Linked DNA regions of Macaca mulatta. The protein of the gene in region 1 purifies or fractionates together with the protein of each later gene. This does not show direct contact. Links are inferred from orthologs where the notes say so. Each region holds a gene or a part of one and is shown in the gene's direction. Other genes may lie near its edges.

Region 1 (4,347 bases):
CCTCCCCAAAGCCCGGTGTTCCAGGACGTGGAGCCGCGCCTGGGGTCCCAGCGGTGGAGGTATTCCGCCTGGGCGCTGCTGGACACTGTCCTTCCAGCCCCTGTCCTCCCCTCTCCAAGTCCGCGCTGGAAAATCACCCGCTGCGGGCTCCCGTAAGCACAGCTTCCTGGCGGGACCGAACCAGCCCCCCAGTTCAGATTTTAGTTCCCCGCAGGAAGCACACCCCGCCTTGTCATCCCGAACTGACCACCCTGCCCACATAACCACACCCCGCACTCCCTACCCCCGGGGCCCAGCTCAGAACCGGGCAGACACCCCCTTCAAATGTCTTCGCACGTAGGTGTCGCACAGTGTTTATCTGCTGGTGTCTCAGGGATTTGACAGTTTCCTTAATATTCCCACACATGGCCGAGAAAAATAAATAAATAAATGCGCTGTCTTCCTTAAAGAAAAAATAAGTAAATAAATAAAGTACCCAGTATCGTAAAGTAGGTTATCGTATTCTGTTATTTTGGATCCACTTTCTGCTTCCAAACGCAGGAACAGTGCTAGCATTGCTCGAGCCCGGGAGGAGAGGGGTGAGGGTCTGCTTCCTCGTTTTGCACTGAATTAGGGCTAGAATTGGGGATGGGGGTAGGGACGCATTCCTTCGGGAGCCGAGGCTTAAGTCCTCGGGGCCGTGTACCCGAGGCCGTTTCTCCTATTCTTGAGCCTCAGAACTGTCTTCAGTTTCCGTACAAGGGTAAAGAGGCGCTCTCTGCCCCATCCCCCCCGACCTCGGGAACAAGGGTCCGCATTGAACCAGGTGCGAATGTTCTCTAGCATTCTGCGCCGTTCCCGCCTCCCCTCCCCCGGCCGCGGCCCCCGCCTCCCCCCGCGCTGCACCCTCGTTGTTGGCTGCAGCCCGCGAGCAGTTCCCGTCAATCCCTCCCCCTTACACAGGATGTCCATATTAGGACATCTGCGTCAGCAGGTTTCCACGGCCTTTCCCTGTAGCCCTGGGGGGAGCCATCCCCGAAGCCCCTCATCTTGAGGGTCCCACGAGACCCCTGAGACAGGAACTGCGAAATGCTCACGAGATTAGGACACGCGCCAAGGCACAGGCAGGGAGCTGCGAGCGCTGGGGAGGCAGCCACGCGGCGGCAGAGGCGCTCAGGCCCGCGCGCCACCCCTCTGGCGCCACCGTGGTTGAGCCCGTGACGTTTACACTCATTCATAAAACGCTTGTTATAAAAGCAGTGGCTGCGGCGCCTCGTACTCCAACCGCATCTGCAGCAAGCAGCCGAGAAGCCGAGACTGAGCCGGCGGCCGCGGCGCAGCGAACGAGCAGTGACCGCGCTCTTACCTAGCTCTGCTCCACAGCGCCCACCTGTCTCCGCCCCTCGGCCCCACGCCCGGCTTTGCCTAACAGCCACGATGATGTTCTCGGGCTTCAACGCAGACTACGAGGCGTCATCCTCGCGCTGCAGCAGCGCGTCCCCGGCCGGGGATAGCCTCTCCTACTACCACTCACCCGCCGATTCCTTCTCCAGCATGGGCTCGCCTGTCAACGCGCAGGTAAGGCTGGCTTCCCACCGCCGCGGGGCCGGGGGCTTGGGGTCGCTGAGGAGGAGACACCGGGCGGGACGCTCCAGGAGATGAGTAGGGGGCTCCCTTGTGCCTGGAGGGAGGCTGCAGTGGCCGGAGCGGTGCCGGCTCGGGGGCTCGGGACTTGGCTCTGAGCGCACGCAAGCTTGCCATAGTAAGAATTTGTTCCCCCTTCCGGAGGCAGGTTCGTTCTGAGCAACGTCTGGTTTGCATTCCAGGACGGATCTCTGACATTAGCTGGGGCAGACGTCTCCCAAGCACAGACCCGCTAACTAGAGCCTGGCTTCTCTGGGGAGGTGGCAGAAAGCGGCAATCCCCCCTCCCCCGGCAGCCTGGAGCAGGGAGGAGGGGTGAGGGAGGAGGGTGCAGCGGGCGGGTGTGTAAGGCAGTTTCATTGATAAAAAGCGAGTTCATTCTGGAGACTCCGGAGCGGCGCCTGCGTCAGCGCAGACGTCAGGGATATTTATAACAAACCCCCTTTCAAGCGAGTGATGCTGAAGGGATAACGGGAACGCAGCGGCAGGATGGAAGAGACAGACACTGCGCTGCGGAATGCCTGGGAGGAAAAGGGGGAGACCTTTCATCCAGGATGAGGGACATTTAAGATGAAACGTCCGTGGCAGGATCGTTTCTCTTCGCTACTGCATGCGGCACCGGCAACTCGCCCCACCTGTGTCCGGAATCTGCTCGCTCACGTCGGCTTTCCCCTTCTGTTTTGTTCTAGGACTTCTGCACGGACCTGGCCGTCTCCAGTGCCAACTTCATTCCCACGGTCACTGCCATCTCTACCAGTCCGGACCTGCAGTGGCTTGTGCAGCCGGCCCTCGTCTCCTCTGTGGCCCCATCGCAGACCAGAGCCCCTCACCCCTTCGGAGTCCCCACTCCCTCCGCTGGGGCTTACTCCAGGGCTGGCATTGTGAAGACCATGACAGGAAGCCGAGCGCAGAGCACTGGCAGGAGGGGTAAGGTGGAACAGGTGAGGAACTCTAGCCTACCCTTCCTGGGAAGGTGGGGGCTGGGTGGGAAGCGGCCCTGGAGGTGGAGGAGCACAGCAGAGAGGATTAAGCCCCTGACGGGGCTGGCTGCACATCCCTAACTGGGAACCCTGGCTCCAAGCCCATTCCATCCCAACTCAGACTCTGAGTCTCACCCTAAGAAGTACTCTCATAGTTTCTTCCCTAAGTTTCCTACCGCATGCTTTTAGACTGGGCTCTTCTTTGTTCTCTTGCTGAGGATCTTATTTTAAATGCAAGTCACACCTAGTCTGCAACTGCAGGTTAGAAATGGTTTCACAGTGGGATGCCAGGAAGTAGGGAAGCTGCAGGAGCCAGTTCTACTGGGGTGGGTGAATGGAGGTGATGGCAGACACTTTTACTGAATGTCGGTCTTTTTTTTTTTTGTGATTATCCTAGTTATCTCCAGAAGAAGAAGAGAAAAGGAGAATCCGAAGGGAAAGGAATAAGATGGCTGCAGCCAAATGCCGCAACCGGAGGAGGGAGCTGACTGATACACTCCAAGCGGTAGGTAGACTTTGCGGGTTGCTCCTTTTTAAAACTTAAGGGGAAAGTTGGAGATTGAGCATAAGGGCCCTTGAGTAAGACTGTTTCTTATGCTTTCCTTTCTCCCTCTGTATACAGGAGACAGACCAACTAGAAGATGAGAAGTCTGCTTTGCAGACCGAGATTGCCAACCTGCTGAAGGAGAAGGAAAAACTAGAATTCATCCTGGCAGCTCACCGACCTGCCTGCAAGATCCCTGATGACCTGGGCTTTCCAGAAGAGATGTCTGTGGCTTCCCTTGATCTGACTGGGGGCCTGCCAGAGGCTGCCACCCCAGAGTCTGAGGAGGCCTTCACCCTGCCTCTCCTCAATGACCCAGAGCCCAAGCCCTCAGTGGAGCCTGTCAAGAGCATCAGCAGCATGGAGCTGAAGGCTGAGCCCTTTGATGACTTCCTGTTCCCAGCATCATCCAGGCCCAGCGGCTCTGAGACAGCCCGCTCTGTACCAGACATGGACCTATCTGGGTCCTTCTATGCAGCAGACTGGGAGCCCCTGCACAGTGGCTCCCTGGGGATGGGGCCCATGGCCACAGAGCTGGAGCCCCTGTGCACTCCGGTGGTCACCTGTACTCCCAGCTGCACTGCTTACACGTCTTCCTTCGTCTTCACCTACCCCGAGGCTGACTCCTTCCCCAGCTGCGCAGCTGCCCACCGCAAGGGCAGCAGCAGCAATGAGCCCTCCTCTGACTCGCTCAGCTCACCCACGCTGCTGGCCCTGTGAGCGGGCAGGGAAGGGAGGCAGCCGGCACCCACAAGTGCCACTGCCCGAGCTGGTGCATTACAGAGAGGAGAAACACGTCTTCCCTAGAGGGTTCCTGTAGACCTAGGGAGGACCTTATCTGTGCGTGAAACACACCAGGCTGTGGGCCTCAAGGACTTGAAAGCATCCATGTGTGGACTCAAGTCCTTACCTCTTCCGGAGATGTAGCAAAACGCATGGAGTGTGTATTGTTCCCAGTGACACTTCAGAGAGCTGGTAGTTAGTAGCATGTTGAGCCAGGCCTGGGTCTGTGTCTCTTTTCTCTTTCTCCTTAGTCTTCTCATAGCATTAACTAATCTATTGGGTTCATTATTGGAATTAACCTGGTGCTGGATATTTTCAAATTGTATCTAGTGCAGCTGATTTTAACAATAACTACTGTGTTCCTGGCAATAGTGTGTTCTGATTAGAAATGACCAATATTAAACTAAGAAAAGATATG
Region 2 (3,645 bases), on another chromosome or scaffold:
ACCCAGTTCTGGAGTTTGGTGCTAGGATTTCACTGTTGTACACATGAGGAAATGGAGGTTTAGCAAGAGATTCACACATCAAGGATGTGGCAGAGCCAGGACTAGGAACCTGACTCCCAAACCCACCGTACTGTCTCCTGAGCTGTCCTCCTCCCAGCGTCTTGAGCCTCAGAGACCCACAGGATACATTTGCAGCTTCCGCAGCCATCTCTGACCAGGAGTGCCTCTGCTCTGTGGGAACCTTCTGGACAAGAGGCCTGAGCAGTCCTATATTCAGGGCAGCGGCACTGGAGCTTCAGAGCTAGAGCAGTCCACTCCTTGACGTGCACGTGACCCTGCACAGTGACCCTTCACCTGTGCACTCAGGCTCTAGCCGCCCGTGGGTCACCAGTCAGATTCCTATGGCAGCTGACAGGGCAGGCCTGTGTAGGCGCTGGAGTCAGCGTTTCCATGAGGAATCCAGAGGACAGACTGGCCTTTGTTTTGCATCAAGGCCTTTGCCAGCAGAATTCCCCAAGATTGCTGAGGGCTCTCAGAACCTCCTGGACGCAGCTCCTGGGGAAATCCACCGGCAGCCACGCATGCGCTGTGCCTCTGAGAGCTCTGAGAGTTGATGGTAGTGAGAGGCAGCCCAAGGCCCCCATGGAGCTTTCCTTCCTCCTGTCCTCCCAGCTTTTCCCCCTAGCTTTTCCACCCAGCCAGCCGACACAGCAGCAGGGCAGTCGGGCAGAGAGGCACCCTTCCTCGTTGCCTGCCCCCGTGGGCCAGGAAGCCTTTCCCAGGCCTCTTAGACAGGGCCTGCCCCCTCTCCCAGCCTACGGTGTGGTGCAAGGTCCTCTCAGGGCACTTCCTTTTGTCCACATGTGAGTTTTCTCCAAAGGATCAGAGCCCAAAGCTGCTCTGCCCCATGCCTTTCAGAGGGAGAGTCTGTGATCTAGCCAGGGCAGAATCACAAGTACAAGGTAAGGGATGAGTCAGTTTTGATGGAACAGAAGGAAAAGTCATTCAGGGCCTGGGGCCCTGCCCAGGGACACATCTGGGCATGAGGAAGCTGTCAGTTGTGTGCGCAGCTCTGGGACCTCGCAGACCTGGGCTTGGATCCTGCTGTTCTGCTCACCAGCTGCATGACCTTGGCCAAGTCCTTTCACTTCCCTGTGCCTTTGTTGTATCATCTGAAACCGGACGGTGAGAAAATCCCCCTCACTGGCCACTGTCAGTTTCTTCCTCTGCAGTGGTTGTGGGGCCAAGTGAGACAGTGACCTGACAGACTCCGTGGTGTGGGGGCAGCTGGGGCCACCCTGGGGTCACCTCCCAAGGTGGAGTCACTCATCTCTGCCGGCCTTCCTTTTCCTCATGTGTGAATGAGAAAATTGAACTAAATCTCTGGTCACTCCCAGTCTAGAATATGACACGAGGCTGTTTTTGGGAAATCTCTGAAAGTTGTTCTAAGCCCTATTTTATACCCCGAGATTCATCCAGGGCAGTAGGTCCGGGGATGGCCTGTGCAACACTCAGGACCTGGGAGAGAAGCCAATCCCTGCTGGGACAGCTCGGCTGGTGGCCAGAAAAGTCTGGGGCCTGATTCCTCTGCTCCCTGGAGAGGGGGTTGGGGCAGCTGTTTCGCCCTCTGGCGAGAAGCCCACCTCCTGCTGTTCAGGATCAGGGACTGGCCCAGTGAGGTGTGCCCTGCCTATGTGTCTTGTGCCCGTTGCTATAGACACTGAGGTTTGTTCACTCTCTGTCTCCCATTCCTAGGACACATCGGATAACCATCACCAACTTCTGCCTCGGGAAGCATCTGGTGAGCGAGGGGGACCTTCTGAAGGACCAGAGGGGCAGCCCTGCCTACATCAGTCCTGACGTGCTCAGTGGTATGTGTGTGTGCCAGGCAGTGGGCCTCCAAGCTCAGTACAGCCAGGCTCTGTGACAATCCACTCAGCAAATCTGTGGGCAGGCCCTGGGCAAGGTGCTGGCGCTTCACTGGGGGCCCAGACCAGTACTGTCGCTCCCCATACAAAATGTTTGGTCTGTTGGAGGTGGAAGACGTAACGATAACACGAATGCATGTTTAATTCCTCTGAGATTAGTGCTAGGGAGGAACGGGATTGCTGTGAGCGTGGATGAAGGGTGCTTGGAGGACTTTCCCCACAAGGTGACAGTTGAGCTATGATCTTAAGGGGAACTAGGAATTCCCTGGGTGTGTGTGACTGGGCTGAGGCGGAGGGTCCCAGAGGCAGCACGGCACATTGGAGCAATTTCAAGCTGCTCAGAAGTGAGCCTGGTTCAAGGGGAATCCAGAGAGGTGCGCGGGGGCCAGATCAGGCAAGGTCTGGCGTAGGCCTCGTTAAGAGACGTCATCCCTTCAAGTGCGAGTGGAAGCCATTGAACAGTTCTCAACTGCGCGTGCCACTGTGAGTTTGCGTTTCAGAGCCCTCACTCCCTGTCTTTGTTCACTCATTCTGTTACTATTTGCTGAGGGCCACCCAGGCCCAAAGCTCTGTTCTAGACACTTTGGAGACCACAGTGAACAAAGTAGACAAACATCGCTGCCTTCATGGAGCTGACTTTCTAGTGGGGTTGAGACAGATAATACACAAAACAAATAAATAACTCACGGGCCGGGCGCAGTGGCTCATGCCTGTAATCCCAACACTTTGGGAGGCTGTGGCGGGTGGATCACAAGGTCAGGAGTTCGAGACAAGCCTGGCCGATATGGTAAAACCCTGTCTCTACTAAAAATACAGAAATTAGCTGGGCGTGGTGGCAGTTGCCTGTAATCCAAGCTACTTAGGAGGCCAAGGCAGGAGAATCGCTTGAACCCGGGAGGCAGAGCTTGCAGTGAGCTGAGATTGCACCACTGCACTCCAGCCTGGGCAACAGAGCGAGACTCTCATCTCAAAAAATTTAAAAAACTCCCAAAGTTACTGCCCACTGATCTGATTTCCAAGTTCCAGACACAGTGCTGAGCGTGACTCACATTATCTGTTTAAACCACACAGCTATCCTGTGAGGTCAATATCTTAAGTCCTTTTCTCACAGATGAGGAAATTGAGGCTTAGAGATGACATCTCTTATCCAAAGTCATAGCTAATAAATAGGAAACTGGAAAATGGAGGCAGAGCCCCAGGGCTGCCTCCCACTAAAGCCCATGCTCCCAACTCTTTCACCATAGACTCTGTTGCTTTCCCTTTCCCCCTTGTCCTTGGCCCAAATCCTTTAGGGAACCGGGGCTTACACCAGCTCCCATCCCTCCAACATGGAGAACTTGGGGTTGTCTACAGGATCCTTCATCCCCACCCCACACGTGAGTGCGCCCTTTCTGTGCAGTGGCAGAGCCAGCCTCATCCCAGGTCTTCACACACGTCCTGGTGAGCAGGCTGCTGTAATACAAGCACTTACAACTCCCTCGGAGGCTCCCCCAACTGCTGCTTCTGCTGGAGAGCCAGGCCTGTCCCCAGGGCTGCCCATGTGCAAAGCCAGTAGCACCTTTCCCCAGACCTGGGGGTTTGGTTGGAGTCACCACAGCCTCTGCTAGAGGGATCTGGGTGCCAGGGGTATACCCTAACTCCCTGGGCACCACCCCCATGGCCCAGCACAGCCTGATACCCTCCACAGTAATCCCCAAAGCATCCCTATAGGAGATAG
Region 3 (3,645 bases), on another chromosome or scaffold:
CTCTCTCACTTGAATTTTTCTTCACTCCTATTTTTGCTTAGTGAGTCTCTGTGTGCCTATTATGGCCCATTTCTAATGTTGCCTTCTATATGAAGTGTGCTTGTTAACATTTTGATTGATCTCTGTGTGTATACTTTGTAAATCTATTTTAATGATAGTACTGATTATCACATTATAAGTACTGTATCATATGAATCTGTCTTGCTTGTCTGAATTGCTTGAGGCCTTGTATTGTATCTTTGAAGCTTGGATCCTTATGAACTTGGTATCTGTTTGGTGTTTTCAAAAATATTTATACTTGCATTGTGGTATAGTGGGAAGTATCAGACAGTTGGGTCTATATTCTCAGTACTACTTCATTGTATATGTCACCATGCATAAGTTCCTTAATGCTCTCTGTGCTAATATTCATCTCTAATTGGGGAGAATAATCTGTAAGATATTGTCTATAAAGTGCCTACCTAGCCTAGTACTAGTTTCCCTTTAAAAAAAAAAAAATCAGTTTTTTGTGTCAGTTTATATTTGTTGGTTGTAGAAAAATTGAAAAATCCAATTTAAAGTGGTTAAACATTATGGAAAATGTATCGATTCACAGGAAAAGAATTTCTAGAGCTAGTTATCAGTGGTTCAGTGGTATTATCAGGTTCTTTCTGTTGTTCTGTTCTTCCATTGCCAGCGTATACCTTAGTCTTTTGGCTGGCTATTCTTGAGATTACAAGATGGCTCTGAGCAGTTTCAGATACCCCTTATGAAGGCATGGTTTTTTCTCCTATCCTTTTCTTTCTGAAAGATAGCACATCTCTCTTTGGTCAAAATTGGGTTACATACTTAACCCCACGTCAACCACTGGCAAGGGCATGAATGACTAGATTGCCTTAGGTTAGTCAAAGTAATACATGGGGTTGGGGTGAGATCTAACTTCTCTGAAAGTTATATGGCAGTCTGATACTTGGAAAAAAAGTCATGTTATTATCAAGAAAAAGAGTAGGATGGTCTTTGGATAGGTAACTAAAAGTGTCTTCCATGGCATTTTTAGAAAAATTACAAAGAGAAAGAACAAATGCAAGTCTTTAGTGCCTAGCTCATAGGAGATACTTAGTTACTCATGCCTTGTTACCATATGGGGCATGTGATGGTCTCATATGGTGAATGAGGATTTCTCTCTCAGGTGCCAGTAGCGTCATCATTGAGAAACTTGTAAGGGAAAATTCATATTCTGAAGAATTCTCCTATAGTAATAGTAGTTGTAGTAGTAGCAGCTGCAGCACAACTGTTTTCTAATTTGAAATAAAATAAAAAGCTAACACTTTCTGTTTAGCATGTTTTTAATTTGGAGGCTGTGTATAGGTAAAATAGAATCTATCTAAACTGAAGAATTACACAATACATTTAACAAAAATACAAATTATTTGTGCTTTTTATTTTGTTTCTGTTTTCAGTGAATGAACTCATTCTTAAACAAAAGCAAAGATTTGAGGAAAAGAGGTTCAAATTGGACCACTCAGTGAGTAGCACCGTATGTTTCAACTCTTATTACTATTTTTAATACATTTCATTTTGTTGTTTTTATTGGTTTAATATTAGTTAGACGTTAAAGTTTAATATATTATTGATTTTTCTTAACGGAGATTGTTAGGATTGTTCTAGTCAAATAACTTTCTTAACTGCATTATCTGTAATACTTTGCTAGAGTGCTCCTATTTTGAAAGGTCTGGTAGGATTATATTGAAACATTTGTCTTTTAATACTTGACATTTGAAGGATTGTATTGCGTGGTGAAACAATGGTTAGATATTTTCAAAAAAACTGTCGAGGCTGGGCTTATACCTGTAATCCTAACACTTTGGGAGGCCAAGGCTGAAGGATCACTTAAGCCCAAGAATTTGAGACTAGCTTGGGCAACATAGTGAGAGTCTGTCTATATTCAAAGAAAAACAAAAACAAACCTTTGAAAGATTCTCAATTTTAAAGGCTTAGTCCCAAATTTCCAAGGCAAATGAGCTTAATACCTTACTACATGCAAAATTGAAAATATGGCTAGACAAATAATTAAATTCAGTTATTTTGAAGGTAAATTACAGCTTTAGAATATTCTCGAATGCACCTTTTATATTTGTTATCTTAATTCATTTAAGGGAGAAGAAATAGTGTTTAAGTTATAACTAGAAGACAGTAGGGAGCCGCTAGCTAGGAAGGAGTAGTTTGGAACATTGCAGTGTGTTTTTGGTGTCTATGTAATGAGCATATTAGGAAGTAGCAAGTAAACATTTGTTTTAGTCTCTAAAACAGTCTTCTTAGGAAGTTGTTGTTTCTTCTTTCTTCATTTTTAGAATGGCCACAGGTGGCAGATATTTCAAGATTTGTTGGGAACTGACCAAGATAACCTTGATTTGGCCAATGTCAATCTTATGTTGGAGTTACTAGTGCAGAAGAAGAAACAACTGGAAGCAGTAAGTGGTAGCTAACCTTAAAAAATATTTTAAATGGTGAACTTTATTGCAATGAAAAAGATCTAAAAAATGATAGGATAGCTTCACTAATCCACTCATTTTTACTCAGCTAGAAACAGCTACAAAGTGTCACTTCTGCTAGATTCCCCCTTTTAGTAACTTAAAGAACAATTTCCATACATTATAACTTATTTGCAATGACCAGTTTTTATTAACAAAAGCTGAGTGTTAAAAATCTTCAGAAAGAAAAGTTTCATTTTCATAGGAAATAGTTTTGTTGGTCATTTGTCTTCTAATGAGTATCTTTCTTGCCATATCATCCCCTATTCATATGTGAGAGTTGGAGGAGAAATAGAGATTATTTTTATCTACATAAAATTCTTTCAGCAGGTGTCCATTGGTAGCAACAGTAGTGTATGGCATAACTAAGAGCATTTAAAGAGATCTGTACTAAATATATCTTATTTAATGTAATGTAAAATTCCATTTATTTTATGTAAATGTTAAAGATGTAAAATGTGAAATTGCAAGTGTTGGGAATTGAGTGTGATATAAGCAACACACACCTTAGCATAAGCAAATACTACCCTGAGGCTAAACATAAAGGGAGTATTTATTGACACAGTAAAGGAGTGAATAACACATACACACAAAAAGGAATAGTTGAACAACCAAACTTTGAGAAGATTAGAACCATGGCTTCTCTGGAATGCTACAAGTACATGAGATTAAGGATTTGAATGTTGTTGAGAGTCTTTCTTTTGTGCCCCTTGTGACTATTTGATTGGGACAGCTCTGATTTTCTTTTCTTACAGACTTCTTTATCACATGGTGGATAATAATGTCATTTGCACTCTTGGTTTATATGCATGTTTTTTGATAAAAGAAAAAAAAGGAGCTTTTGTTTCCAACTGCAGTTAAAAAATTTTTGTGGCTAGATTATGATTAACTTAGCTTGGATCTGGATCCCACTCACTGTGGTGGGGATCTGCTAGTAGGAGAAAGGTGTGTCAGGTTGAGCCAGCCAGGATGAGTTGTCTCCCATGTTGTATCTGTTTGGGAGGTGGGGTTCATGGGAATTTCTCTTACGGTTTTAACCGTAGTTTTCTATTAGCATCTGCTATGTGCCAGGGGTTGTGTTAAGGGCTGTGGACAAGCTAAAGTTCTGCTGTGTGCGTGTGTTTGTGAACTAAAT

Evidence for each region.
Region 2: the proteins of FOS (region 1) and STK40 purify together in Homo sapiens (affinity purification with mass spectrometry; 3 studies listed by BioGRID and IntAct, counting the BioPlex papers as one, with this or other methods). This does not show direct contact. The link is inferred for Macaca mulatta from reciprocal best matches to the Homo sapiens genes FOS and STK40.
Region 3: the proteins of FOS (region 1) and COP1 purify together in Homo sapiens (affinity purification with mass spectrometry; 4 studies listed by BioGRID and IntAct, counting the BioPlex papers as one, with this or other methods). This does not show direct contact. The link is inferred for Macaca mulatta from reciprocal best matches to the Homo sapiens genes FOS and COP1.

The regions. Positions count from the first base shown.
Region 1 is NC_133412.1:148,475,720-148,480,066, forward strand, and holds FOS (protein c-Fos), read left to right. Parts: upstream 1-1,416; coding exon 1,417-1,557; intron 1,558-2,311; coding exon 2,312-2,563; intron 2,564-2,999; coding exon 3,000-3,107; intron 3,108-3,224; coding exon 3,225-3,866; downstream 3,867-4,347. UniProt on the Homo sapiens protein: Nuclear phosphoprotein which forms a tight but non-covalently linked complex with the JUN/AP-1 transcription factor. In the heterodimer, FOS and JUN/AP-1 basic regions each seems to interact with symmetrical DNA half sites.
Region 2 is NC_133406.1:204,444,828-204,448,472, forward strand, and holds part of STK40 (serine/threonine-protein kinase 40), read left to right. Parts: intron 1-1,755; coding exon 1,756-1,871; intron 1,872-3,645. UniProt on the Homo sapiens protein: May be a negative regulator of NF-kappa-B and p53-mediated gene transcription.
Region 3 is NC_133406.1:33,619,870-33,623,514, reverse strand, and holds part of COP1 (E3 ubiquitin-protein ligase COP1), read left to right. Parts: intron 1-1,439; coding exon 1,440-1,516; intron 1,517-2,330; coding exon 2,331-2,450; intron 2,451-3,645. UniProt on the Homo sapiens protein: E3 ubiquitin-protein ligase that mediates ubiquitination and subsequent proteasomal degradation of target proteins.